7 linked regions of the Mus musculus genome follow. The protein of the gene in region 2 interacts with the protein of the main gene of each other region in a pairwise test. Links are inferred from orthologs where the notes say so. Each region holds a gene or a part of one and is shown on either strand. Other genes may lie near its edges.

Region 1 (3,190 bases), on a different chromosome or scaffold from region 2:
GACTCATCACAGAGCAGCGGCGTGGCAGGATGGTTACGCGGTTCTGGCGCCAAGTGGCTGCCGCTGCTCCACACCAGGTCTTACCAACTCTCTCCCAGCTATGAGATCAAATGGTTTTCTCCATGTCTCATATCTTTGTGTTAGATGGGACAATGCTAGGGAACAGGTATGTACACTAAGGGATATACCAAGTGTCATGAGTGAAACAGGGTCAAATAGAGAGATATCCCAAAGCCACACAAGAAAGACATTACTGGCAAAGCCAGGCCCACCCCCGGGGAGTCTAGTAGGCAGCTACCATGCTAGATAATGGAGCTCTGAGGTGGGACGTGCCTGGAGCTTGAGTCCCACCCTTGTTTCCATCTTGGTCCCTTAGACCAAACACTGCCCCTCACCTGAAACAAGGCAACATGAGAAACACACATGGCAGGGCTCTCGAACCAGAGAGCCTGAGCCCACTGTCTTGGGATTTACATAGGAATTACAGTGCTACCCAATACAAGCCCAGTGAGAACTAAATGACTTAACATCATGAGGTGCTCAGTGCCAGGCCCAGCAGCACACAGTAAGCCCTGCTTGCTAATTTTTAAAAATTACATTCATCTACTTGTGTGTGTTCAGGGGCAGGTGTGTGCCATTGTGCTCACGTGGTAGTTAAGAGGACAACTTATGGGAGTTGGTTTTCTCCTTCTACCATATGAGCCTTGGAGACTGAACTCAGGCCGTCAGGCTTGGCAGCGAGCACCTTTCTCCACTGAACCATCTTGTTGACCATGGCCTTGTTGTATGCTCTGCAGGAGCTGCTGCCTGGCACAGGTCCTGGGTGGCTGAGGGTACGGAAGCCGGAGGGGAGGTTCTGGCCACTTCCTGGAGGAGAGGGCTGGGAAAGGATACAGAGCCAGCGTCGCTCACCACCTGCAGCACCACGGTGATTGAGGTCCGGGGGTGCAGGGCCCCTAGAACCACAGCTTCACAGGTATTCCTGACCAGCCGCTCGCGGCTCTTCTCGGCCACGCCTGGGGAGACGGGAAGCGGTCAGGCTCTTCCCTTCCACCCCGTCGTCTTGCTCTGCTTGGTCCAGCCTCTGGAGGGAGACTTCAGGAAGGGGCTGTCAGCCTCAGTCCGGGTCGGAGTACACACTCCCAGGAGAAAGCGGGCGAGTCTGCAAGTTTCTGAGTAACTCCTGCTATGGCCAACCTTGGCCAGGGGTCTACCAGCCAGCCACCCAAGGAGGAATACCCAGAGGTGCCCATGTCCTGTGCTACTGGCCATATCTACTCTCATCAGAGCAGGCCCATCCCATGACACATGGGGAGAAGTGGTAAAAGGGCAGAAAAACAAGTTAATGGGAAGGAAGAGCGAGGAAGGCAAAAAAGGGAAGAAAGAAAAGGCTCAAGAGAGGGTGGGTCTGGTGGTACAGGTCTGTAATCTCGAGACTTTAGGTTAGGCAGTGGGATCATGAATTTGAGGGCAGCCTAGGTTATAAAGAGAGCTCACTGCCAGCTCAGAGGACTTGAGACCCCGTCTCAAAAAGTTAACAGGGGGGCTGGTGAGATGGCTCAGCAGCGGTTAAGAGCACTGACTGCTCTCCCAAAGGTCCCGAGTTCAAATCCCAGCAACCACATGGTGGCTCACAACCATGAGATCTGACTCCCTCTTCTGGTGTGTCTGAAGACAACTACAGTGTACTTACATATAATAAATAAATAAATCTTAAAAAAAAAAAAAGAGTTAACAGGGCTGGCTACATGGCCTAGCCACATAGCCTTAAATTCACTAGGGAAAAGCTAATGGTGTGGCTCAGAGCTGGAATTCCTGTCTGGAGACCACCAGTGAGGATCTGGGAGGCCTAATCTCAGCAGCAGAGGGCTTGACCGGACTCCACCCTGGAGAGCCTGGGACTGTGGCTTCCTGGAAGTGCATCTGCCCAGCAGGCCTGATGCTCTAGATTCCATTCCAGTGCAGCAGAATCAAAAGCTGGGCAAAGAGGGAGGAGAGCAGGGCAGCAGAGACTGGACACAGCAAGCATCGAGGGGTCAGATGAGGTCCCAACAGACTGGATCTTTTGGGGGGCTCAGTGGAGTCCAGTTACCAGGCAGCCCGATCTTCGGCCTCAGGATCACTTCAAGGGTGGCCTTGTTGAAGATTTCTTTGCTGACCTTCACCTCGGCCGGCCCATAGACTCCAGCCAGGACAGAGGTATCACCTGGGGGAAAGAGGGAGGCCTTGGCCGCTCTGTGCTGCACTTAGCACTTCTTTCCTCTGCTCTCTTAACTTTAAGCAGCTAAGTACCTTCCTCATGGTAAGTTTGTGAAGATCAGGTGACTGTGGCTCACAGAAGCAGGAGGCCCTCAGTCTCCCAACATCACACAAGAAGATGAAATAAATGCCAACTTTAAAGAGACACAGTTCACTTGAAACATATAAGACACTGGCCAGAAGGTGCAGAGCTTACCACAGACTTCAGCCACTGGTTAATTTTTAGAGGTAGCTGGGGTTTGCAGAGATGGCTGGTGGTGTGTGTCAGCATGCACACTGCTCTTCCAGAGGACTAGAATTCAGTTCTCAGCACCCATTATCAGGCTGCTCACAACCACCACGAAACCCAGCTCTAAGGGACTGACACCCTCTTCTGCCTTCATGGGCACTCGCACACACAGCTCTCGCCCACACACGCATATACATATCCCAGTGTTTGGGAGACACACAGGAAGATCAGGAAATCAAAATCATCCTTGGCTCCAATGGTAAGTCTGGGGCTACCCTGAGCTACGGGAGAACATCTCATAAGCCAGCCAAGCAGAAAACAGTTATTAGATGCAATTAAAATATATTAGTAAAATACATTTTAAAAGGACAAACAATAAAGATTGTGAATGTGTAGGGGGTCTTAATTTCTACTTATTTCCCCCAAATGGTTATGAATGGGTCTGGAGACCTCGTGTGACTTTGCTAACGTCCACAGGCGTCAGAGAGGCCACCTACGATGTGAAGGCACTGCATTCAACAGCAGTTTCCATGTTTCTGACTGTAACTCCCAATGCCCACTACACTTTACAGCACAGCTCCAAATCGATAAAATGTATGTGTATAAGTCGGTCAGAGGTTGGGGCTGGAGAGATGGCTCACAACTGTATGTAACCACAGTTCTTGGGAAGATCGTACTCTTCTGTCCTCAGGCACTAGGGAC
Region 2 (4,178 bases):
GTGTGTGTATACACACATATATGTATATATATTTAAATGACAGGTTGTATGTAGGCTATTAGATTTTTTTTCATGGAGATTGTGCTTGCTTGTGTGTGTGTGTGTGTGTGCATGTATGTGATTTTTTTTTCTTTTGGGTGGAATTACTCTCCAAAGCTGGGAGCTCCCCTTCTCTCAGAGTGAACCGACTGGAACACATGCTTTGTCACAAAACAAGCAAATTGTGGCTCCTTGTGATATTGGTAGATTCTGGGAATAAAGGCCATCCTGGAGGGGCAAGCCCCCCTAAGTTAGGTCTGAACACACCGTGCTGTGTGCCCTATACTGGGTGAGCAGATGTCTGAGGAAGGCTCTTGCAAATGTTTACTTATATGGCCCCTCTCCTGAGAGAAGTATGCATGCTTCATCAATGTATTTCCAGTGGCTAGGGAATTTTTTTTTAAGTAGTTGTGTTTGGCTTCATAAAGACAATTAAAAGACCATATGAAACAAGAAACACACACACACACACAAACACACACACACACAAACAAACCCAAAAGCCAGTAATTCAAATTAGTTCCGAACTATCATGTTTTGCTTTAGAACATTATTTTTGTTTTTGCTTTTTGTTTTTTGTTTTTCGAGACAGGGTTTCTCTGTGTAGCCCTGGCTGTCCTGGAACTCACTCTGTAGACCAGGCTGGCCTCGAACTCAGAAATCCGCCTGCCACTGCCTCCCAAGTGCTGGGATTAAAGGCATGCGCCACCAACGCCCGGCACTTTAGAACATTATTAAGCATGCATTTTTCAGACCCTAGTGCTTACACAAACAGGACTCAAAAACTCATGGTTTCTGCAATGCCTGTAAGTAACCAACACTGCACTAAGCGCTGAAGAATATTCTGGAAGCAGAACTGCTCTTTTTCTCTACAGAGGAGCGAGATGAAGCAGAAGCAGCTGCTTCGGGGAGGAAAAACACAGTGTTCTCTGGAACTTTCCAATAGTACGGGTTTACTAACAGCTCTGTTCATTGGGAGTTTTAAAACCCTCGACCGTTGAGTAGAAGTCCGCCTTTTTTCAAAAAAAAAAAAAAAAAAAAAAATCTATTTTCCAGTTACAATTTGGCGGGAACAGGAAGTTTGAAAATTCAAGTGCCGAAAACTTCAAATAACTCGTATGACATACATGTAATAAGTATTTCATTTTTAATTTACACCGTACACCATTGCCCAACACACAGAAACACGGTAAATTTAGCACACACACACACACAGAAAGTGGAAAAAATGCAAGAGTCCTATTGCAGTTCTCCGGACATTCAGCGAGCTGTTTTGTTACAAGTGTATCCAATGTCCCCAGCACCAGGGACTTATGGGGGCACCGCTCATTCCTGCTTCACTTGCTCTGCAGCTTCGGGAAGTGGTGGCTGCGTTTGGAAGCAGAGCTTGCCCAGCTAGACGACAAGATGCTTCGCGCCCCCAAGTGCTCTAGGTGCCGGAACCATGGCTATCTGGTACCAGTCAAGGGCCATACGGGCAAATGCCGCTGGAAGCAGTGCATCTGTGACAAGTGCTACCTGATCACCGAGCGCCAGAAGATCATGGCTGCCCAGAAGGTTCTCAGAACCCAAGCTGCCGAGGAGCAGGTGGCGACCGTGGGCACGCAGGGTCCCCAGCTGCCTCCTAGGGCTCCAGCAGCGGCGGCCACCGCCTTGAGCTCCAGCATTTGCCCACTGCCTAGGGCGGTTCCGGGAGGCGTTGGGCCAGGCCCCACGGCCACTTGCTTCCTCGAGAGGCCCCCGCAGGCCCCGAGCCCAGGCCCGAGCACCTTCCAGCTGGGCCCAAGTGGCCGCCCGGGCCCCAGCACCTTCCAGCCTGGACCAGGGGCCCCCGGGGGACTGCGCGACCGTTCCTCCGCGTGGCTGCCCCAGCTCATGCCACAGGCGCCCAGGCCGGAGCTTTGCTACCCGGATCAGCACCTGCCAGTGCGGCCCGTGCCAGTGCCAGGGCCAGTGCGGCCCGTGCCCCGACTGCCGTTCGCCGACTACGGTAAGCCCAGCCTCGTGCAGCCGACGGTTCCTCCGGCCTGTACCAGGCCAGCAGCCTCCGGCTCTAAGCTGGAGTCCCAGACTGGTGCCGGGGTGGGAAAGGCGCCTTCCCCAGGTAACCCCGCTTGAGAACCTGTTCCCAGACAAGGATTTGGGTGGGTGGCTTCTGATGATAGCAATGGGAAAAAGCTGGTAGGGAAGAATGTGCAGTGCAGGGGGGCTTTGTTGAGATGCAGTTTTCTGCCTCTGTACTTTTGCAAGAGGAAAAAAAAGATGGCAGCTGGGCAGCTTTGGCAGTGGCGCCTTTCCGTGGCCCCTCTAGCGCGTTTGCACGGCATCCCTTCCCCCCTCCCAGGTCTAGATCTCTTGTGCCTGCGTGGCAACCCCTCCCCCTCCCCGCCTGCCATTTTTCTCCTGCTGGAGAGTCTTTTTCTGAGTGGCTGTTCACCTTAAACTGCGCCTGCGCACCCTCCTTTCACTGAGCCGAGGCTAATTTATCCTAACTGCAGTGTCTAGCCTAACGCACCTGTACTCACACTCACTTGTTCCATTTCACCTGATGTGGTGGGGAATAAAACTTTCTGCTAGTTGGCCAGGGGGATGGGCTGGTTCACTAAGATTTTTTTTCCCCCTCGCTTTGTGCATTAATTACATTGTTTCTTTATGCTGTAGGTTGCTTTCCTGGTTGAAGTAGATTTCTTGAGTTTTTTTAAAATTATATTTATATCTTATAATTTATTTATTATAATGCATTGGTGTTTTGCCGGCATGCATGTCTGTGTGAGGGTGTCTTATCCTCTGGAACTAGAATTACAGGCAGGTGTGAGCTGCCACATGGGTGCTAGGAATTGAGCCTGGGACCTCTGGAAGAGCAGCCGGTGCTCTTAACCTCTTAACCGCTGAGCCACCTCTCTAGCCCCTGAAGTATGTTTTCAAGTAATGTAAAATTTGAGGCTCTTGGAATGCGGCTCTTTGGGATGAAGACTTGGGTTTTTGGGGGGGGTAGAGGGGGTTACTTTCCTTAGGGCTATGTAGAAAGAGTCTGAGTCGAGGGGATGCCCATGTGTAGCCTTGGACAAGTTCCTTCCTTGAAGAGCAGACTTTCAGAAATTAATGCTAACCATTCTTTTCTCTTTTTTTTCTTTCTTTTCTTTTTCTTTTTCTTTTTCTTTTTCTTTCTTTCTTTCTTTCTTTTTTTTTTTTTTTTTTTGGACAGGTCTCTGTATAGCCCTGGCTGTCCTGGAACTCACTTTGTAGACCAGGCTGACCTCGAACTCAGAAATCCACCTGCCTCTGCCTCCCAAGTGCTGGGATTAAAGGCATGCGCCACCACACTCCGCTCCAATGCTAATCATTCTTAATGTTTCTGAGATTTTGTAAGAAATCTTTCTCCCCAAGGAACTATCTGTCTGATGAGGAAGGCAGACTTAAATAAACCAGCAGTCCTATGAGGGCATATGTGTGTTCATCTCTCAACAAACAGGAACTTTAAAATGTGTTATAAAGAGGGGGGGAGAAGAGGCCACTTGTGGCTAATCCCAGCATGTGTGGAGGAGAGGTCAGAGGGCAACTTTGGGAAACCGGTTCTTTCCTTCTACCTCATGGGTCCCTGGGATGGAGCAGTGGCTGTCAGGCTTGGTGGCAGGTGCCTTTAGCCATCTTGCTGGCTCTGATGGTGCTACTCTCGATTGTCAGATGGATTGGTGAGAAACCTGGATGAGGAAAGCAGGAATTTGTCTGGATGCATCTTGGGAGGCGTTTCCAGAGAGTTTACTAAGTAGGAGAGGTGGGCCCTGCATGTGGGCAAAACAGCATGGCTGAGTGTTCAGGGACAGTGGGGTTAAAAATGAAGAGGAGAGATGGTGTCTGTGACTGCAGAGGAAGTGCCTGGGCTGTGCTGTTCACACCAGCACTGCCAGGAACAGAAACTGAAGCAGAGTCCAGTGGTGGGTGAGAACCACCACACGGTGGCTTAGACGTCCTGTCCTGTCCCCTCCTGATGCACCAACCCCGGGGAACAGCTTGACTGCAGCCAAAGCCAAGGGCTCCCATTGTCTCTGCCCAACACAGCGCTGAACCAAGGGGGGGACTGGGAATCTCACCGGTGTGCTAGAGTGTTGCTGCTAGTGTTGCATGGCCGTTACTGTTAG
Region 3 (4,135 bases), on a different chromosome or scaffold from region 2:
GGGCCGGAAAATAGGTGGATGGTAGGAGAGAATGAAGTCTGCCTTCTTTTGCAGAGCCTCGTCCATGACCTCCTCCGTCAGGTCATTGGTCAGGAAGAGTGTATTTACAGTATGGGGTGGGCTTGGCTCCACCAGTAATCCCACATTGTCCCAGCTCTCAGCAAATGAGAGGGATGCAAAGTCATTCAAGGACGAGAGAAGAGCCTTCAGATCCATGAAGGAACGGGAAGACCTGCAGATCCACGACTGGGCACGTTGCACACTTGTAGGGACTAGGTGTGCCGATGACAGCATACGGAAACCAGGGAGAAGGGTGCCTGAAATCACAACCCAGGAAATGGTATTTATATACCGTTCACCTCTGCACTGTGAGGCATAAAGCACGTGAGTAAAACAGCTCTCACCACTGACCCAGAGTCAAACAGTGGCCCTGCCACCCTGCAGCATGGTGGGCTCGGCCAAGTCATCTGACCTCTTCATTTTCTTCAAAGGCATTAGTATATCACCTAGCAGAGTATGACGCAATATAAATGCTCAGCCCCTCTTACACCTTCCCTGCTCTGCCCACCACTGCTTCAACCTTACACCCTGTATCTCTGCTGCACACAAACGCACAAACCCACACTCCAAGATATTCACGTAGACAGAATAAAACTAACACATTCAAGAGGCTAAGCTGTAGCTGAGTTGGTAGAGTGCTTAGCTACCATGCACAAGGGTTTGGTCCCCAGCACCACTGGGTGTGGCGGCACACATCTGTGATCCCAGCACAAGGGAGGTAGAGGGTAAGCCAGCCTCAGCTATACAGTCAGTTCTAGGGCAGCACGAGCAAGAACTGAGGCAGACAGGTCACTCCACAAACGCACAGAGCCAAGGCAAGAAAAGGCCAGAACTGCTGCCCCTGAACACACGTCAACTGCTACACAGAGAAACAGAGAGGAAAAGCACTGGGCCCCTACCCACATATTCCATGGCTGTGCACTGAATGGTGGGAGAGTAGTGTCACCAAAGAACCAAAACAACTCAAAACAGTGTGATGTGCAATCTGAGAGTTAATAGAATTGAATAAAGGAAATGTGTTTGCCTCAAACAGGTATTGTAAAAGTATCTTTTATTCACCTGGTATAATTGTCGTCTCCCATCTCTCTGCTAAGCTAGGCCTAGTTCTGGAAGCTTATAGCCTCCATACAATCTTATCTAGGCCTATTATGTTTTCAGACTCTGAGAATTACTGCCGAATAAGCTCACCCTTTCTAGTTCTTTCTGAGCTTGCGCTGGCTGGCTGGTTCAACTCAGCTGTTCTGGCTCAAACTCCTCTCCAAGCTGCCTGATTCATCTGGCTTCTCTCTCAGCCTCTGACTGAATGGTTCTGCATGGCCTCAAACTAAGCCTGACAATCCTCTCTAATCTTCTGGCTGCTTCTTGTTCTTTGGCTCAGTCTGTCTTCACTTATGCATAGCTTGTTTTCTCTATCTGCATCCTCTCTATATATAACTGTCCCAGTAAAAACTGCCCCCAGTCTCTCTCTGCACTACCCCTTAAGTAGCCCATCTTTTCTCCCTGTTCTGGAGAGAGCTGGGCATATCCTATTCTGTCAAATCTTTCTCTGATTCCTCACTTTGTCTGCCATTCAATTAGACATCACTTTCAAACATGGATGCTTCCTTCTACAAACTAATTTTACCTTCATTGTTTGAGATTAAAGATGTGTGCTAAGGGCACACCACAACTAGAAAGGTTCCTCCCACCCACCATCGGTAAATAACACAATCTCGGGGGTTCACAGTGTGACCAAACATCCTGTAACAAGCTACCAACGAGACTGATGTAACTTGTGGCTTTCTTGTTATACAATAAACTTCTATTGTGAGATGACACGACCACGTCCCGGTGTTTTTCTCGGACAATGTGCTCACAGTACAGACACATTTAAAGCATTATTTGAATGGGCTGGAGCTGCCGTACAATGGAGAGATGGGAATATCCATTGTCAATCTACATGATCTTTAGCCCTCTGAACAGCCACTTGCTATTTTTCAATTACACGAGAGCTCTCTTTGCACTTGCGTGTGGTTTTTCTTTCATTTACGCATGGCTCAAGACCTTTTCCAGAATAATCAAGGGCCGCGTGGCATAGCCTTTATTCCTGGAGTCAGCACCCTCACCCCTCCTGCAGCAAGGCAGTTTTCATCTGCAACCTCTCCTTCTATATTCATGTTCCCCCGGCCCTCTGCAGTCACCACAGCCAGCCCGATGTGCACCTCCAGCGAGAAGAACAGACAGCCCCCGCGAGCCCTTCAGTGGTTCACAACTCACCAGTCGCAGAAGCTCTTTCAGTGTATCACTTCCGCTCTGCTCTGAAGCTCCTGGCTTTGTGGAAAGAGTTGGGCAGAAGTGGTCCTGTGCGTTCTGCTTCCGACTCCAGGCCGCTGTGTGAAGTTGGGCGGAAGTTGTCCTGTGCGTTCTGCTTCCGACTCCAGGCCGCTGTGTGAAGTTGGGCGGAATTGGTCCTGTGCGTTCTGCTTCCCACTCCAGGCCGCTGTATGAAGTTGCTGGGCGACAGCGGGTTCTGCTTCTTAGTGAGGTTGTGGGTAGAGCTCTCAGGGGCCGAGGGGTGAGGTGCGTGGTCCTCCGAGTCCTAGTCGGTGTGATGAGGAGAGACTGACGGGAGAGTAGGGCGTCCCCTGCGGAGGGCTCCGGGCTTCACTTCTGTGGCGCACAGACACGCCTTTGGAACCCGCAGGCATGCCGGCCCTTGTAGTTGAGGCTTTTCCGTTCCCGCAGCAGTGGTGCTGAGCGCAGTGGGTGAGTGTGGGGGAAAGGCTTTTATCCTTTTCTCCGTGCACTCAAACGCCTGCTGCGCCCCACGTTGGTGCAAATTTATTTCTTGGGATCCTCGTGGTGAACTCTCGGGCTGGAGATGGTATTCCTGGGACTTTTAAATACGATTGATAAGTTAGCAAGATGTGGCGTTTGGGAAAAAACAAAACAAAAGTGTGAAGTATAGAAATGTATTGTACAGACGTCTTAAGTAAAGTAGGTGTCCCGGGTAAAGGGAGCTCCAAGTGCCTATCTAGAGCACTAGACCTGGAGGTGGGGCTATGCCTCCCTTGCAGAAAGCCTTGAAGAAAATGAGTAAAGTAAGTGCGCACTGGGGTGGCTTGTTGCATTGGGTAGGATCAACACTTTTATGATAGGATTTTCATTTAGAGGATGCTAGTCTAAGCTTTTCGTTGTAAATCTACCATAAAGATGAACAAGTATGGTGGGAACTTGATAGGGTAAAGTGAACTAATTCCTCTCTCTTGTAGGAGATTTGAAAAATTAAACAGTGCTTCCTAGAACCATCAAGAAGGAAAATGGTGAGTATGTATCATAGAATTATTCTAACTGGGTGGTTGGTTGCTTGTTTCTAACCCCTTTGGGTTCCCTGGAGCTGGAGACACAAGCAGATGTGGGTGCTGGGAACTGAACAGGCCCTGCTGCAAAAGCAACAAGTCCTGGTACCTGCCAAGCCTGCCCTCTCAGCCGCCCATTACATGGTTTTTAATTTGTGTGTGTGTGTGTGTGTGTGTGTGTGTGTGTGTGTTTTGGTTTTTTGAGACAGGGTTTCTCTGTGTAGCCCTTGCTGTCGTGGAACTCACTCTGTAGACCAGGCTGGCCTCAAACTCAGAAATCCGCCTGTCTCTGCCTCCCAAGTGCTAGGATTAAAGGCATGTGCCTCCACGACTGGCTGTTTTTTAATTTTTAATGAATATTTTTTTGGAGGAAGTCAGACAGGATAGTGAGTGTGTAGCTCAGTGGCAGAGTGCGTTCCTAGGATAAGGAAGGAGAGGGGAAGGGAGGGGATGTGGCGAGGGAGAGACTGTGTGTACCAGTATAGAGGGAACAAAGTAGAATAAACAAGTGGACATGATCATTACAACGTTACCCTGCTGGTGTGGTCCCAGCACTCAGGAGGTAACCTTGCTCCCAGCCTCTATAGGCCGTCGCAGTCTCAGACCTTTCATTAAAAGACACAAAAGGAAATAAACGAGCAAACAGTGTGCCCTTTCCCCGCAGAGATGAGCAGCACAGGTAGAATAGCAGGGAGTGTAGCTCCTGTGTCCACTGAAGCACCCCACTCACCTCCACC
Region 4 (3,500 bases), on a different chromosome or scaffold from region 2:
AGTGCATGGCCAGGAACAGGACAGGACACCAGGCCCCTTACACTCAGAGAGGACCCAGAGAGTCTGGAGTAAACTGATGAACAGAACTGAGAAAATCACCTTTGTGTAGCAAAGTAAAAACTAAGTGAGATGCAAAATATGATAAGATATTGCAATGCCTGCATATAAGCACTATCACAAAAACATCTATGCATGCTATAATTCATAAAAAGCCAAGTTAGAAAGCTGTGCTGAGAAAATATATAAGGAGATGAGGAGGAACCAGAAATTAAACCTCACAACCCAAGGTCGCAAGCCTGTGTGTGTGTGTGTGTGTGTGTGTGTGTGTGTGTGTATGAGAGAGAGAGAGAGAGAGAGAGAGAGAGAGAGAGAGAGAGAGAGAGAAGGGAGAAACAACAATTTAAAAAGAGGTCATGAATTTGAGGAGTAGGGGGAAACAGAAAAAAGTTGGGGGGAAAAGAGAATAACATACACTATTCATGTCTAAAATTCTCAAAAGATTAAGAAACTTTAAAATGGTAATGTAACTCCACAGCCATCTAACAAATGAAAAATTAAAAGACATAAACAGAAAAACAGTGTCTGTTACGTAATTCATCCGAAAAATAAGCAGGAAAGTATGAGACGACTAATATTTTTCAAGCTGAAAAGATCATTTTATGAATGGCCATCCAATAAACAGCCTCTCCTTAGCAGAACGCAGGGTCAGGAACCGGGGGTCTGATGCTTGCCAGGCAACACACTACCAAGGAGCTCAATGTTTTCAACTCCACCCCGGCCTAGGTCTTCAGCTCAAATCAGTAAGTTACAAGGAATTACAAATCTTTGAAACGAAAGCATTTAGTCTTACAGCAAAAGTTTGCAGACGAATAAACAAATTTAGTCAGCCACTGGTTTTGCTTCTAAAAAATTAGTTTTCTACCTAAAATATTTTCTATAAAACTCAAATAAACCAAAGCACAAATAAAATGGTCTGATTTCACTGCATGTCCACATGACTTCTCATTTGCCAATAAAAAGCAAAATTAGATGATCAGACATCTGATCAAAAATATTAATCAGATTTACATTACATTTACTAAAAGCTTCCTTTCTGTGTCAAAAATCAACCCTGCAATTTAACTCTGTGCCAGTCACCTGACCCAGAGACTGCTACACCATGGCCACGGTGGGCTAAATCCAGCCACCTTCTGTCTCTTTGATATCTATCAGTTAAGAGCAGTTTTTATATTTAAGGGGAGGGGAGTGTTTCATTACAGAAAAAAAAAAATCTCTTGAAATTCGAATCTGTGCCAATGAACGAGGTGCCATTGGAACAAACTGTGTCTACTTAATCTGACATCTATGGTTGCTTCTGGGTGACAAGCGGGTCGTGCAGTCACAACAGTGTGTAGCCTGGAAATCTCAAGGTGTCACCCTTAGCAGAAGCAGGTTCATTGACATCTGAGCTAAAGAGCTGTCATCCTTGAATCTCATTTGACTTCTGTTTCAAACCATACTCATACAACAAAATGTCCACATAGTAAGGCCATAAGTCTACTTGAGAAAGAAGGTGAGAGACGGGGACTTGGTTGTTTGTTGAGCAGGATAGGAACTGATGGTAGATTCTCTGGACATCAGGGTACCATCCACAGCATGGGCACTAATGGCCAGTGTTCACCCAGCATATCCCTGTTCCTATGACCGTCTTCCACTTGCTATCAATACATCAATAGTTAACAAAACAGATGCCTTAAAGTCCACCTTCCCCAAATACTTAAGCTAGACTTCTGTGGCTATTAACTTATGGCCGTGCCAATACAACAGGCAGTACAGAATCTATACTGCTAAGGATAGGCTTCCTGATGTCAGGGAGACCCCAACACCGACCCCATCACCCAAGTACCCTCTTGCTTAGCAAACCTCTCGATCACTCAACTTTACCCTTCTCACCTCTACAGGTGAATGAAAAACCTGCCTCTGATCAACATGAAGTACTGACTATTGTAGGATTAAGAGGCAAAGAAACTCTACCTAGCTTGTCCTCCTCTCAAGTGTCTCGGAACCATCCATTATCCCTGAAGAGCCTGAGAAGCAGAGTCTAACCTTCAGTGTGCCTGAGCAGTGCTCCTGACTCACCAAGGCAGATGCCCTCTGCCCATCCTCACACAAACACCTTCTTTCCCCTGGAGGGGGCGGGCCCTGTGCTTTCAAAAGTTCAAACAGGACTTGAGATGCAGTGGTACATGGGCAGAAAGGGTGTTCCTGGAAAGTGAGCGGACACTGAGAGGTTAGAGAACAAGGTGAAAGGTCAAACTTTTACAGCCTCGAAGTACTGGACACAGAGGAAAAGGAAGGAGCTACAGACCACAAATTCCTTTAGCTGTTTCTCCCACAATTCTCTCCATCTCTTGTCTCTGTCTCTCTCCCTCTGTCTAACTCTGTGTGTGTCTATCTACCTACCTATCTCCTATCTATCTGTCTGTCTGTCTGTCTCTGCCTGACTCTGTCTGTCTGCCTGCTTCTCTGTCTCTGTCAATCTGTCTATCTGTCTGTCTCTGCCTGTATGTCTCTGTCTCTCTGTCTCTCTCTCTCTGTCTCTCTCTCTCTCTGTCTCTGTCTCTCTCTCTCTGTCTCTGTGTGTGTGTGTGTGTGTGTGTGTGTGTGTGTGTGTGTGTGTGTGTGGTATGTGTCTTCTGCTGGTCTCTACCGGTTAACTAATGGGACATACACTACTAGGATTAGCTTCTGGCATACGGAGGTTAAGACTTCCAGTCATCCATCCAACTAGACAGAGAAGGAATACAACAAAGTAGACCTCAAGAAACTCCCAGTGTGACTTAGAATTGAGCCACAGGTCCTAATTACCAATTTAGGAAAGTGAAGACAGACTCATTTCACTTACTGACACATTTCTGAAACAGGAAGAAAAAAAAAAAAAAGATATGATCCATATCATCAGCTAAAACTCTAACTAAAGGTAGTTAGTCCCCTGAGGCCAGTGAGCAGAGCCCTCAGTAAGGAACTGTGTGTTCCTCAGGACAGACGGATCACATGTGACAAGAACCTGTACCCCAGTTTAAGAGCTTATCAGCTGAAGTCTATTCCCAAACCAGAAACAGAAGCCAAGAGCACAGTCCAAGGTTGAAGACAGAGAGTGCACACACTCACAGTACCTTGCTCCAGTCTGAAGCGCAGAGAGCGTCTGGCTGCTTCCATCTCAGGAGTTGGGTTATCTAGGACATGTCTACACCACTGCAAAGGACTCGGGGATTTCTCTGGTGAGGTGAATGTCTTTGAAGAGCCAACATATAACCTTAAAAAAAGAAAGAAATCTACATTATAGGCATGATATAGATTACAGAAAGTGCCTCTCTTTGGGAGGAAAACAGCATGCATTGAACGTTCCCATAGAAACAGAACCACATTTGATTGCTTCAAAGTACCGAGAATCATTTTTAACAGGCAAATATCCCCAAATAGAATAGGTTACTTTCCAAAGCCTGCTGAGAACTACTTCA
Region 5 (3,980 bases), on a different chromosome or scaffold from region 2:
ATGAGTCACCACATCGTACTCCCAAACCATTAAACTTTAACAGGCCATTTCCTTAACACCACTGCACCTCAGTTTTACTACCTGTAAAATGGGGGTAAGACCGGGAGCACATGCTTGTACTAGCACTGCACTCAACTGCGGTGGAGATTTAAAACGGAACCAGACTCATATTACCCCACCTGGCAGGAAGAGTGATTGAACCTGCTACATCACTTAAAAAGAAAAGAAAAGAAGAACCGCTGCTCATGTTATTGCAAGAGGAAAGGAGTGAGGCACATTCTTTCAGAATTCTGCCCAAGAGCCCTCAGACCTCTGACCCCTTCTCTGCCTTTCCCAGCTCCCGGATGCAGCAGACACTCGGCAAATATTTGTCAAACTGGGAGAAAAAGAACCGTATCTTGTAATTTTCCATCTCAACCACCTCCCTTCCCACTCCCCCTAGGGCTGTCCCCAGTCAAACCAGTCCTGCCCCCTTCCCCACCACAGCATAAGACCTCTGAGGGCGCTGGAGCCAAGATTCAAAGTCTTGGGGGCAGGGCTCAGTTTACCCAGCTGGGAATAAGGAAATAAGGAATGGGTCGGGGTCTCTGTCTCTAATCCTAGCTGTCCTTGGAGAAGTGACACAGCCCAGCAATTGACCAAGGACGAGGGAGACCCTTTCCTAAGAGGGTGGGGGATTCCTTCAACTTGTGCCTACCCTCAGGGGAGGGAGGGAGGTTTGGCACTGGCCACAGCCAGAGCGGGGCGGGCTGCAGGAGGACCGGGGCTGGGGGTGGGAGTGCAGGGGGCCGGCCTAGACGTTGCTCCTGCCCTTTTACGGTCTCAGCGAGTGAGGCGGCACTAACTCGGACATCCGCCATCCGCCTTCCACCGGGCCTGGGACCGGAAACGGGTGGGGGTGGGGCGGGGCTGGGGGCAGCGGGGCGCAGTGGAGGAACTGACCCCCTTTAGGGGGACAGAGCTCCCATGGGGGAGGGAAGGCCAGGCAGGAAGTCTCCAGGGTGTCTCAATGTACCCCTTCTTGCTCCAAATCCCAACACTCCCACAAGCCAAGGGACAGACTTGGGAGGCCGGGAGGGAGGGAGGGGTCCTAGCTCAGGGTCCTAGAGAGGAATGTCACCTAGATGTCAGAGGGCAAGACTGGAGGATGTGCACATGGGAGGTTAAGCCCAAACTGTCCCCAGGAGACTCCTCCTCCAGCCAGGGGCTTTGGGGCAGGAAGTCCCAGCCAAAGTGGAGGAAGGGAGACAGTATTGTCAAGATGTGGCCCCAAGGGAGAGATTATGGGGGGGTGGGGGTGGCTGGGGCTGAGAGGAGGGGAGGCCTCTGTCAGGCCAGGCCCCGCCCTCAGGTGAGCCCAGGAGTTCAGGGCAAGTCCCAGGGAAGACATACAAAAAAAAAAAAAAAGAAAGAAAAAAGAAAAAAAAAATCTTTGTATCCCCCTCACCTACAAGATTAAATTCCTAGGAAGAGAGCTGGAAGAAGCTAGTGAGCCTGGGTCCCTGAGGGAGAAGGCTATGACCTTGACGCTTTCCAGCGCCCCCTCCTCCAATCCCACGGCCTGGGGAAGGGGGTAACACCCAGCGACATTGAGCCCAGGGGGAGGGACTGTGGTGTGGGGAAAGCAGCTGGCCACAGTGCTCACTCGGGGGCCCGCCCCCCACACCAGCTGTCTCGACAGGTGAGTCAGGAAGACAAAGGCCCCCCTCCCCCAGCTGCTGCGCCCCCTCCCTCCCCGGCCACCAGGTTGGGGGGGGGGGACCAGAACCGTCCTCTGGCCCGGGGGTCCAGGAGCCGCCCTGGGCCTGGAGTGCTCCAGGGCCCTAGGACCCAACCTGGTTGCCTAAGGGGAGAAGAGTCCCATCCAGACCCTCTAGGCCCCGTGGGCCAGATTCCCAAGAACTCCTCCACAGGAGAACCTCGGTGTCCACCAAATTTAGGAACATCAAGAAGTGCCCCTAAAGTTAAGGACCGCGATTCCACTCTGGGACTCTCATCCAGTGCCCTAGACGCAAGGATCCGAATTCCAACCACAACCTGAGACTCAAGAGTTTTAGGGCTAGGGTTCTCTAGCCAGCCTCCCACCTGGTTTTGAGTTTGGGGGCGGTAACTCTGAGCCCGCTTATACTAGATCATCCCTGCGAGGATCTGACTATCTGAGAACTCAGAGGTGCTCCCCCCAAAAGTCTTCAAATTCTGAGTCCCGAGAGCGCCCCTAAACCTGAAAGCCATCAAGAGAACCTCAGCCGGCACCGCCCCAAGCCTTTAGGGAGTAGTGTGGAGAAACGGGGTGTCGATATTTAGAGATCGTTCCAGAAGGCACCGGCTCAGATCTGGGACGCCCAAAGCGCTGTGTCCCCTAAATCTAGCCCCAAATGCGCTGGAGGGGGGGAGGGGGACAAAGGCGGGGCGCGGAGCCGGCTCCCGGCTGGGACCCGGCTGGAGGGTTCGGGGCTCACCTCATGGCTGCGCGGAGGGCGGGCGGCGCGCCCACGGGGAGTGCTCCCGGGGCGCCCCTGATTGGAAGTGCAGGGGTGCGGGGCTGGCTCCAGGTTCTGCTCAGTCTCTCTCGGGGTCCCGCCCCATAGAGTCCAGCTTCCTGGGGAGAACGTGGACCGGGCCGGGGCGGGTCTTCAGGCGCCTCCTCCCACCGGTGTTCTGATGTGCTGGGATCCCCTGCGATGGAAAGCGGGGTGCAGCGTCCGAACCTCGCCGGCGCACCCCCTCGGCCGGCTGCACCTACGCGGTTACTCTTACTACTGTACTCTCTTTGCTACATTTCGTTCCAAAATTCCACTCCCCGTACCCACAATTCCCTGCGCCTTAAAGGGGCCGTGGACGCCTCCAGGCGGGGGATGGAGAGCGTTTAAAAGGCAACGCGGAACCTTGGGCTTCCGCAATTGCACTCCTTTCCCGGTCTTGTGGCGTGGGGGTGCACCCTGAGCCTCACTCCGGAGTTGGAGGGGAAAGCTTGGTGGAAGAGACAAGGGGCCTTTCTTTGATCTCTAGCTGTCTCCACTATCAAATTCTTTAGTAGAGATCTGGGGGTGTAGGTTCTCCACTCCAACTCGCTCCGTGGACTTCTCAGTTTATTTTTTGGGGGATGGGGGTACCCTTGGTTAAGCAAGGGATCTCATCAATTTCCACCTTTAAGTAACACTTCCGCACTTCTCTTCCCCAGATCTCGCTTCTCAGGCCGAGCCCCACCCCTCGCCGCCCCCCACCCTCCCGGGGAAGGTGTGGAGGAAGTGAGCGAGGGGGCGCGGCGGGCCGCTGACTCACCGCGGCCGGGTCGTGGTTGGGGTGGGGGCGGGGGTAAGGGTGGGGGATAGACTAGGAGCGAAGGGTTGGTGGTGAGACCCCGATCTGCTCCCCACGCGGGCCCAGCTACAGCTTAATTTTGCCCACGGAGGGTAGTAGGATCGTCCCAACAATCCGGCAGGCTCAGAGGCCCGGAGACCCTCCTCTAGAGCCCCTTCCCCGCCAACACGTCCGGGCTGAGTCGAGCCCCCCCTCCCCCAAGCCTTCCGCAGTGGGACCCATAGGCCCCGCCCAGAGTTACATCATCATGCAGACACGCCCCTCCCGTAGAGCTCTACCTGGCCGGCTGAAAGGCGGTAACTCTAAGAAAATGGCAGTTCCTGACTTACTGATCGAGAAACTGAGGCTCAGAGACAGGGAATGGGTTTAGCTTATTTGGGTCCCCCCGCTCCCAAACTCACGAGAATCAATCCACGTGGCCTTTGGCCAATCCATTTCCTGGATGCTATGCTGGCTCCCTGTTGTCCTTCACTTGTAAGAACCTCAACCTTCAGGCCAAACTCTTACAGTAATTCTGCTCTAAAAAAATCTAGTACACCAGTTAGTTGTCCTGCTCAAACCAGGAGGCTGAGGCAAGAGGATCACGAGTTTGAGGCCAACCTGGGCTACAGGGTGACTTTAACGTCATCTGAGGTTATATATTTAAGAACAAAAGTGGC
Region 6 (3,500 bases), on a different chromosome or scaffold from region 2:
TAGTTCAAGCTCCCCACTGTCCAGCCACAAGGCTTAGGAAAGAACAGTCAGTACATGCATGCTGGGCAGTGAGTAGAAATGCTAAACTAACTCAAAGCGCTTTCTTTCCGAGAAGGTAAAAATTTCACACGTCCTTCTACCTTGCATCTCCGACTTCACATACCGTGAGAGATCCATTCTGGTTGCTGGGTGAATTGCTACTCTGTTCTCCATGAGGCTGCGTACTCCCGTAGAGGGTCAGGTTATGTTCACTGGTCTGGCCGGCATAGTCCTGAGTGTGTGGCACTCCATATTCTGTGGGAATTCCATTTTGTGGAGGTGGTGGGAACGGGATGGTAGTAAAAGGCTGAACCATTGCGTCAGGAGTTGTTGTTGGCTCCTGGTTACCCTAGAGCAAGCAACAGAAAAGAAAGAGGAGTGAGTGAATAAATCTTTATCACACAGGACTCTTAGCATGTTCTCTCACTATCCCCCGCTCAGGAAGAAACTGCTAGGATCATCAGATAACTTCATTCTTTAAAAAATATCAACTGATAAAACTTAATTTTATGTGTGCTTTGCCTGTGAGCATTATGGTATGGTGTGGAGTTAGGACAACTTGATTCTACATCCTCCTTCAACATGAGTCCCTGGGATCAAACTCAGATTTGGTGATAAGTACCTTTCTTTACCTGATGAGCCATCTTGATAGCCAAGAGCTTAATATTTGATCATCTCTTCCAAATCATTTGGTGCTCTGCCTGTACCCATAGTTGGTGGCAGAATATACTGCTTCCAAGGTCAAGACTGATTAGCATTTAAACAGGTGTGCAACAGACAAAAATTCAAACTAAGGTAGACTAATAGATGAGCAGAGCCTAAGGATTGCCTTTCAGAAATCTTCAGAAAGGGTCTATTAAGAAACATATGAAGCTTTAAAGACACAGTTTCCAAGTTTAGATTAGGACCAAGGAACTTGCCTCTGTCTCTGACGCTGCTCTTCTTGAACTCTAACCGCCATTCTCCACCCCATCCCTGATGGGAGTGAGACTGTGGTCCACAAGCAAACAGCATCAATCATCCCACAGGGCCATTTCTGCCAGAGCTGGCCCAGTCAACTGAACAAACACATCAACTAGTGGTGGGGATTGGGAGCAGGAAATGCTTCTAGGGTATACCCATAGTCTAGGCACAGCGAGATGTAACCACGGTAGGACTGTCGCCCATAAGAGGGTGCAATCCTCCATCAGGGAACAGGGCTCCTGTTGACTTAGGGAAATGTGACTGATAGCAACACTTACACAGCTGTCTATATGCTAAGACAACAGACCTGGCCGGACAGTGGTGGTGCACACCTTTAATCCCAGCACTTGGGAGGCAGGGACAGTCTGATTTCTGAGTTCAAGGCCAGCCTGGTCTACAAAGTGAGTTCCAGGGCTACACAGAGAAACCCTACCTCAAAAAATCAAAAATCAAAAACCAAAACCAAAACCAAAACCAAACCAAAAAGACAACAGACCTGGAGTAATGCTTTATGTTTTATAGCAATCACTCTACCACATATATTATGGCTATTGTTTTTATTAGAAATATGAAGTCATTTAACATTCTTAATAAAAATAATATAAGAATGTTTTCTAATCAATTTTCAGTTCACATTTCAAAGTTTTAAGTTGAAAGGGAAATACAACAGCTCCCAGCCAACTTATGACAGTTGATAGGATTGCTTCTACATCATGAAATGCTTTTAAAATATTTGTATTATTTTTAAAATGTATGTGTATGTATATATCTGTATATGTCCTTACAGAAGCCAGAAGAGGGCGCCAGACATTCAGGAGCTGAAGTTACAGGTGGTTGTGAGCTGCTTGATATGGGTGCTGGGAACTCCCTTCAGATTCTCTGGGAGACCAATGCCCTACACTTCTTTCTATTGCTGGGACCAAAACCAACTCAGGGGAGAAAAGAGTTCATTTCACTTTGCAGTTCATAGTCTGTCATGGAGGCAAGACAGAGCACCGGACTTAATCAAGTGGTAAAGAATATTCTTGACATCAACCTTGGACTTCCACATGAATGTGCACGCATATCCACGTGCACCCACTACATAAGAGCACACAGACGCAGGCAGGCAAGCAGGCGTTCACACACGAGCGTGTGCACGCACCCACCCACCCACACAGACACACACAGACACACCCAGGCACACAGCTCTAAAAGCAATTTTGTTTGTAGGGCTTAAGAAATGGCTCATCAGTTAAACGCAGGTAAGGACCTAGAGGCAGGAACTGATAGAGGAGCATTACTTACTGGCTCGCTCCTCATTGCTTGTTTGGCCTGCTTTCTTGTACAACCCAGGGCCACCTACCCAGGGTGTCACCACGCACAGTGATTAATCAAAAAAAAAAAAAAAAAAAAAAAAAAAAGGCCTATAGTCATGTTTCCAGGTCAGTTTGAGAGAGGCAATTCCTCAACTGATACCTCTTCCCATAGAACTCTAGTTTGTGTCAATCTGACAAGGAACAACCAGCAAGTATTCGTTACACACCTCCGGCCCCTATGCTTTATATTCTAGGCTAGGCAGCTAAGCACATAACACCTGGAAAGGTGAATTATTACCATCTTTCTAGGATGAAGTCCATGCAATGTAGAAAGAGAAGGTATTTTTATTGTTGTCTTCCCATTCCTTTCTCAACTTCATTCTAATTTTTCCATTTGGTAATCTTGACTCCAATTTACAGGCATAACCTAAACAGCAGCCTGCAAATTCTAAAGGCAGCCCATTCAGACAGTCTCTCAATCACAAAAAGAAGTACTTGAAAGAATATTCCCCAGTTTAACTAGGATGCCAAAAATATTTCTGCTTTTAAGCATTTTACAAGCGTCATTTTTATTCCCTGGGAGCTTAGGTAGGCTCAGATTTCAAACTTGGCCTGCCTTTCTAAAACCAACCAGTCACTGGGAAGATGGTTCAGTTGTTGAAGTACTTGGAGCTGGGCAGGCAGAGGCAGGAGGATCCCTGGAATTGCTGGCCAGCCAGTCTTGCCAAAAGGTGAGCTACAGGTTTGTACTGGCTAGTTTTGTGTGTCAATTTGACACAGGCTGGAGTTATCACAAAGAAAGGAGCTTCACTTGGGGAAATGCCTCCATGAGATCCAGCTGTAAGGCATTTTCTCAATTAGTGATCAAGGGGGGAGGTCCCCTTGTGGGTAGTGCCATCTCTGGGCTGGTAGTCTTGGTTCTATAAGAGATCAGGCTGAGCAAGCCAGGGGAGGCAAACCAGTAAAGAACATCCCTCCATGGCCTCTGCAACAGCTCCTGCTTCCTGACCTGTTTGAGTTCCAGTCCTGACTTCCTTTGGTGATGAACAGCAATGTGGAAGTGTAAGCTGAGGAAACCCTTTCCTCCTCAAGTGCTTCTTGGCCATGATGTTTGTGCAGGACTAGAAACCCTGACTAAGACAAGGTTCCATTAGAGATCCTGTCTCGAAACTAAGGTGGAAAGCAACTGAAGAAGACATT
Region 7 (3,929 bases), on a different chromosome or scaffold from region 2:
ACATGTTTGTGAGCATGGCCCTCAGCCCCAGAGGGACAAGGACGCTGCAGCTGCTGCAGGACTGCTGAAAGACACGGTAGGCTGAACCCGTCTACCCCACAGAACCCAGAGTCACTGCTAACAGTGAGTGTGACGATGCAGAATGCAGGCACTGGTGCTGACAGACTTTCAGGTGCCATGGGTTAACTACAAAACCAAGTCCACATAAGCCGCTGCCTCTCTTGTGAAGAAGTTTACATCCCGGGGCTTGAAGGCAGGCCCCCTGCCCAGCACCAAGCAAGCCAAATCCTTTCCTGACACTAGAAGAATGAAAGCTAGTGTAAAGGTGCTGCCATGCAGTACAGACCTCAGGACATGTCTGCTTTCCATACCATGCCGGGAGGCCACACAGCTAGTAGGTCTCATGGACAGGGGGTCCTCAGCAGTACCCAGATCTAAGGATCAATGTCCACACAAGTTTCTTGCCAGGTTACCCTGTGGGCACTCACCAATGAAGTACAAAAGGCAGGTAGGAAATAGTGAGCTGCTGGAAGGACAGGAGTCTGTCCCACCTAGAACCCTGAAGGGGACACTAGACCTCTCTGAGCATGAGACTCATCTGGAAAAGGGCGAAACACAAGCTGAAACCTGCTACAGGTCCACAGGTGACAGAAGATAGAATAGCCAGAGAAGGACAGTGTATCACTGAGGTCCCACCAGGATTCCACAGGCCCCAGCCCACACTATGTACAACTAACATGGCACAGTGCCCTCAGACATCTGTGGAAGCCAGGCTGACACATACAGCAGGGCCATGCAGAGAAAGAGCAGCCTCAAACCACAGCTGCCACCCTAAATAGTAACAAGACAAGCAAACTCATAGAGTTCCGGAGAACAGTATGACCCCACACTACACCACAACGCTGTCCCTGAACTTGGCACATCCCACAGCTGTCACCCCATGTTGCAGATGAAACAGAGAGAACACACATATGAGCCCAGCCCATATTCACATCCTGCTATCATTCTTCCAGAGATCATGCTCCCCCGGGGTCTCAAAGATGTTAGTCCAACTCTATAATGGAGCCCCGATGTCCTGCATGCCAATCACACTGGGGTAAGCATCCTGTGTATCCCTGTTTATATTGGACACGTGCTCTGAATCTGGAAGTGACAAAGCAAAACACAGTAAGGGAACATACTACCCGGGGAATAAAACTGCTAGGTATCATCTTGCTGACACCCTGGCTCACTGGGTTCACTTTCCTAAATACTGGACAGCTAAACTCCTTCCCTTTTCCTTCCTACAAGGCAAATTTGTCCTAATCAATCAAAAGCTCAACACGACAAGGGACATAACCCTGGGCCAGGAAAGGTTTGACAGGCAAGGCTGTCCTGCTGATTTCTGGAAGGCAATGGGCTGGGCCTGCCCTCCCTACCCCATGGGAAATTTGGACTATAACCCTGCTGGTTTGGGTGCAGAGCCTCTTCCTACAAAAGTGTGTGTGTGTGTGTGTGTGTGTGTGTGTGTATACACATGAGCCTCCAGGGAGTTCAGCTCTGAAGAGGTGCAGTGTAGGGGAGGAGTACCCACCACCAGTCCAGGATGAAGGCAGGCCTGGAGGGCCTTACCCCGCCACACCCTGAAACAAACTGACAGGATCTGCAAAATGGCCTTGTGTGATAAGAGGTATAGTGGGCCATCACAGGGCGCCTCCCTTTTTCCCTCCTGCCTACAGTTCCTTATTTCCTGCTGGCAGCACACGCTGCGAGGATTCATCCCCTGCCAGCTTTCAGGCTATAAGGAAGAAGGCAGTGCCCTTGTGAGAACAGAGCTGGGGGTCAAGCCGTGTGGTCATTAAAGTGGAAGCGCCAAAGAGAGGGACACTGTAGGGCACTTGGACGGTGGGCAAAAGGCTCCTCCCTAATCCGAAACCTCTCGGCTGCCCCGCCCGAAGGTGGGGTCGTCTTCGCTGCGCGTGCGCCAGGCTACGCGGCCAGGGAACGCAGCCAAGGAAGGACTGCCCTCCACAGGCAGGACCCCTGTGGCTTAAGGACTTTCATAAATGAATAAAAAAAAACGTAAGTGGTCCAAATCCAGGTGCCAAGCTGAGCATCACTAAGTCGACCAGAGGGGTGATAGGCATGTAGGCCACCCATGTTCCCTCAGCGCCACCTCTAGAGACTACCCGCTCCCGGATCTGCCGACCCGAGGCCCATGCGGAATCCGCAGGCTCGTCACTCCGGGAACACCTAGGTCCCGGCTGGGTGTCCACGAGAAGGATCCTCGCGGGACCCCGGGCCAGGAAGACAGGCCCGGCTCGGTCACAGTCTGGGTCGCACCACCACAGGCCCCTTTGTCACCTGCGCGGGTCGCGAGCGGGCATCGGAAAATAGGGACGCGCACGCGCGTGCAGCAGTTCGCGCATGCGCATCACCCGTTGGCCTCCTGGGTTTCTCCCCCCCAACCAGGCGCGCGCGCAGCGAGCGCGCACGCGCACTCGCACACAAAGCCAGCGCCGCGCGCGCCCGGCCGCCCCGCCCCCGCCCCTCCACCCCCCGCCCGCAGCCGGAAATGCGCGCGCGCGGCCTTACCCAGCGGCAGGCCCTTGTTGAGCAAGTGGGAGCTGCCCATTGAAAGGTGCGGGTGGCCGCGGGCCCCGATGAGTCCGGCGCTCTCCGCCGCCGCGAGCCCTGCGCCTGGGGCGGCTTCGGCGCAGTCTGCTACTCCGCCCGGCCGCCTGCGCCCGGCCACCGCCGTGCCGAGCCGCCACCGCGCCGCCAGCCGCGCTCCGACCGACGAGCGGGCGGGGACACGCGGCGCGCGCGCGCGGGCGTGGCCTCGGTTGGTCTGCTGTTTGCAGGCAAGGCGGCGCGCTGGACGTACGCGGGCGGCTCAGGGGCCCAGCTGCCCGCCGGCCCGACGCTCGGCCCCCACCCCCAGCGCCCCTCCCAGGCTGGATTCCCTTCCTGGACACGCCCCCAGCTGTACCCGCCCCCGGCCTCCCCTCCCCTGCGCGTACCCCGGACTGCGCCCCTGCCACTCCTTGGCGCGGTGACCTGGGCCGGAGCCTGAGTGGTGAAGCAGCCCATCCGCGTGGGGCGCTACCAGTCTAGTCGCCGGGGCCTCAAGAGGACAGCGAGAGCGGTTCACTCGGCCCCTTGTGCGCTAGAGCTGGGGCCGCGGACCCAGGACCCAGGAGCTGGACAGCGCCCCAGCCAGGGAAAGTGATCTGTGCGCAGGGACAGATGCCCGCTGGCCACCCCAGAGTAAGCGACTGACTGTTGGTGGGACTGTCAGACAGGCGTAGCGAGGGATACCGCTTAGCTGTTAAAAAAAATAAAAATAAAAAAAAATAAAATAAAATAAAATAATAATAATAATTAATAATAATAATAATAATAACATCACGGGAACAGTCCAAACTGAAGGATGCTGAAGGCCATATGGTTACGAGTTTTGAAAATCAAATCTTTGAGAAAGGTGGGCAGTATCAATGAGGGATGACAAGGGCCTGGGCATCTGTTTACAGAAAAAATGCTTTGAAAATACCTTCCAATTCCATCTATTGGCAGACATGGATGGAGAAAAAGATCTAACAGGTGGAGTCTCAAACCTGCTACAGTATTTCCTAAATAGACTGAGGGCTAGGGGGGAAAGCCAGCAGATGTACACTTTCCCTTAATCCCCACCCCTATCCTGGACTGTCTCTCCTGGTCTGTTCCAGTTTTCTCGAGCTGCAGGTGACTCCCTACAGATCCATCCAAAGGGCTCCTCCCAGTTGTTCCATCCTAACATAGCAACTCCATGGCAGAGTGACACCTCCTATTCCTTCTCAGGCTGCCCAAATTCCCACTTTTTCTTGCACATTGTGACTAGGACCACCACATCACTCCATCCTTGTGAGGGATTATATCAGGGCTTGTATAAAAACCCTTAGGGCTCAAAA

Evidence for each region.
Region 1: the proteins of Dmrtb1 (region 2) and Exosc5 interact in a two-hybrid assay, tested with the Homo sapiens proteins (2 studies listed by BioGRID). The link is inferred for Mus musculus from reciprocal best matches to the Homo sapiens genes DMRTB1 and EXOSC5.
Region 3: the proteins of Dmrtb1 (region 2) and Nif3l1 interact in a two-hybrid assay, tested with the Homo sapiens proteins (2 studies listed by BioGRID and IntAct). The two-hybrid records come from large-scale screens. The link is inferred for Mus musculus from reciprocal best matches to the Homo sapiens genes DMRTB1 and NIF3L1.
Region 4: the proteins of Dmrtb1 (region 2) and Slain1 interact in a two-hybrid assay, tested with the Homo sapiens proteins (2 studies listed by BioGRID). The link is inferred for Mus musculus from reciprocal best matches to the Homo sapiens genes DMRTB1 and SLAIN1.
Region 5: the proteins of Dmrtb1 (region 2) and Vasp interact in a two-hybrid assay, tested with the Homo sapiens proteins (2 studies listed by BioGRID and IntAct). The two-hybrid records come from large-scale screens. The link is inferred for Mus musculus from reciprocal best matches to the Homo sapiens genes DMRTB1 and VASP.
Region 6: the proteins of Dmrtb1 (region 2) and Rbfox2 interact in a two-hybrid assay, tested with the Homo sapiens proteins (3 studies listed by BioGRID). The link is inferred for Mus musculus from reciprocal best matches to the Homo sapiens genes DMRTB1 and RBFOX2.
Region 7: the proteins of Dmrtb1 (region 2) and Ctbp1 interact in a two-hybrid assay, tested with the Homo sapiens proteins (4 studies listed by BioGRID). The link is inferred for Mus musculus from reciprocal best matches to the Homo sapiens genes DMRTB1 and CTBP1.

The regions. Positions count from the first base shown.
Region 1 is NC_000073.6:25,662,153-25,665,342, reverse strand, and holds part of Exosc5 (exosome complex component RRP46), read right to left. Parts: intron 2,207-3,190; coding exon 2,093-2,206; intron 1,096-2,092; exon of another isoform or gene 1,017-1,095; coding exon 895-1,016; intron 1-894. UniProt on the Homo sapiens protein: Non-catalytic component of the RNA exosome complex which has 3'->5' exoribonuclease activity and participates in a multitude of cellular RNA processing and degradation events.
Region 2 is NC_000070.6:107,681,431-107,685,608, reverse strand, and holds the start of Dmrtb1 (doublesex- and mab-3-related transcription factor B1), read left to right. Parts: upstream 1-1,378; 5' UTR 1,379-1,446; coding exon 1,447-2,029; exon of another isoform or gene 2,030-2,143; intron 2,144-4,178.
Region 3 is NC_000067.6:58,443,816-58,447,950, reverse strand, and holds the start of Nif3l1 (NIF3-like protein 1), read right to left. Parts: upstream 2,801-4,135; 5' UTR 2,317-2,800; exon of another isoform or gene 2,262-2,316; intron 318-2,261; 5' UTR 295-317; coding exon 1-294. Other genes in the region: Ppil3 (peptidyl-prolyl cis-trans isomerase-like 3), read left to right, coding at 3,360-3,362. UniProt on the Homo sapiens protein: May function as a transcriptional corepressor through its interaction with COPS2, negatively regulating the expression of genes involved in neuronal differentiation.
Region 4 is NC_000080.6:103,656,728-103,660,227, reverse strand, and holds part of Slain1 (SLAIN motif-containing protein 1), read right to left. Parts: intron 3,296-3,500; coding exon 3,156-3,295; intron 1-3,155. UniProt on the Homo sapiens protein: Microtubule plus-end tracking protein that might be involved in the regulation of cytoplasmic microtubule dynamics, microtubule organization and microtubule elongation.
Region 5 is NC_000073.6:19,269,055-19,273,034, forward strand, and holds the start of Vasp (vasodilator-stimulated phosphoprotein), read right to left. Parts: upstream 2,801-3,980; 5' UTR 2,465-2,800; coding exon 2,460-2,464; intron 1-2,459. UniProt on the Homo sapiens protein: Ena/VASP proteins are actin-associated proteins involved in a range of processes dependent on cytoskeleton remodeling and cell polarity such as axon guidance, lamellipodial and filopodial dynamics, platelet activation and cell migration.
Region 6 is NC_000081.6:77,132,554-77,136,053, forward strand, and holds part of Rbfox2 (RNA binding protein fox-1 homolog 2), read right to left. Parts: intron 389-3,500; coding exon 164-388; intron 1-163. UniProt on the Homo sapiens protein: RNA-binding protein that regulates alternative splicing events by binding to 5'-UGCAUGU-3' elements. Prevents binding of U2AF2 to the 3'-splice site.
Region 7 is NC_000071.6:33,272,205-33,276,133, forward strand, and holds the start of Ctbp1 (C-terminal-binding protein 1), read right to left. Parts: upstream 2,801-3,929; 5' UTR 2,615-2,800; coding exon of another isoform or gene 2,575-2,614; intron 1-2,574. UniProt on the Homo sapiens protein: Corepressor targeting diverse transcription regulators such as GLIS2 or BCL6. Has dehydrogenase activity. Involved in controlling the equilibrium between tubular and stacked structures in the Golgi complex.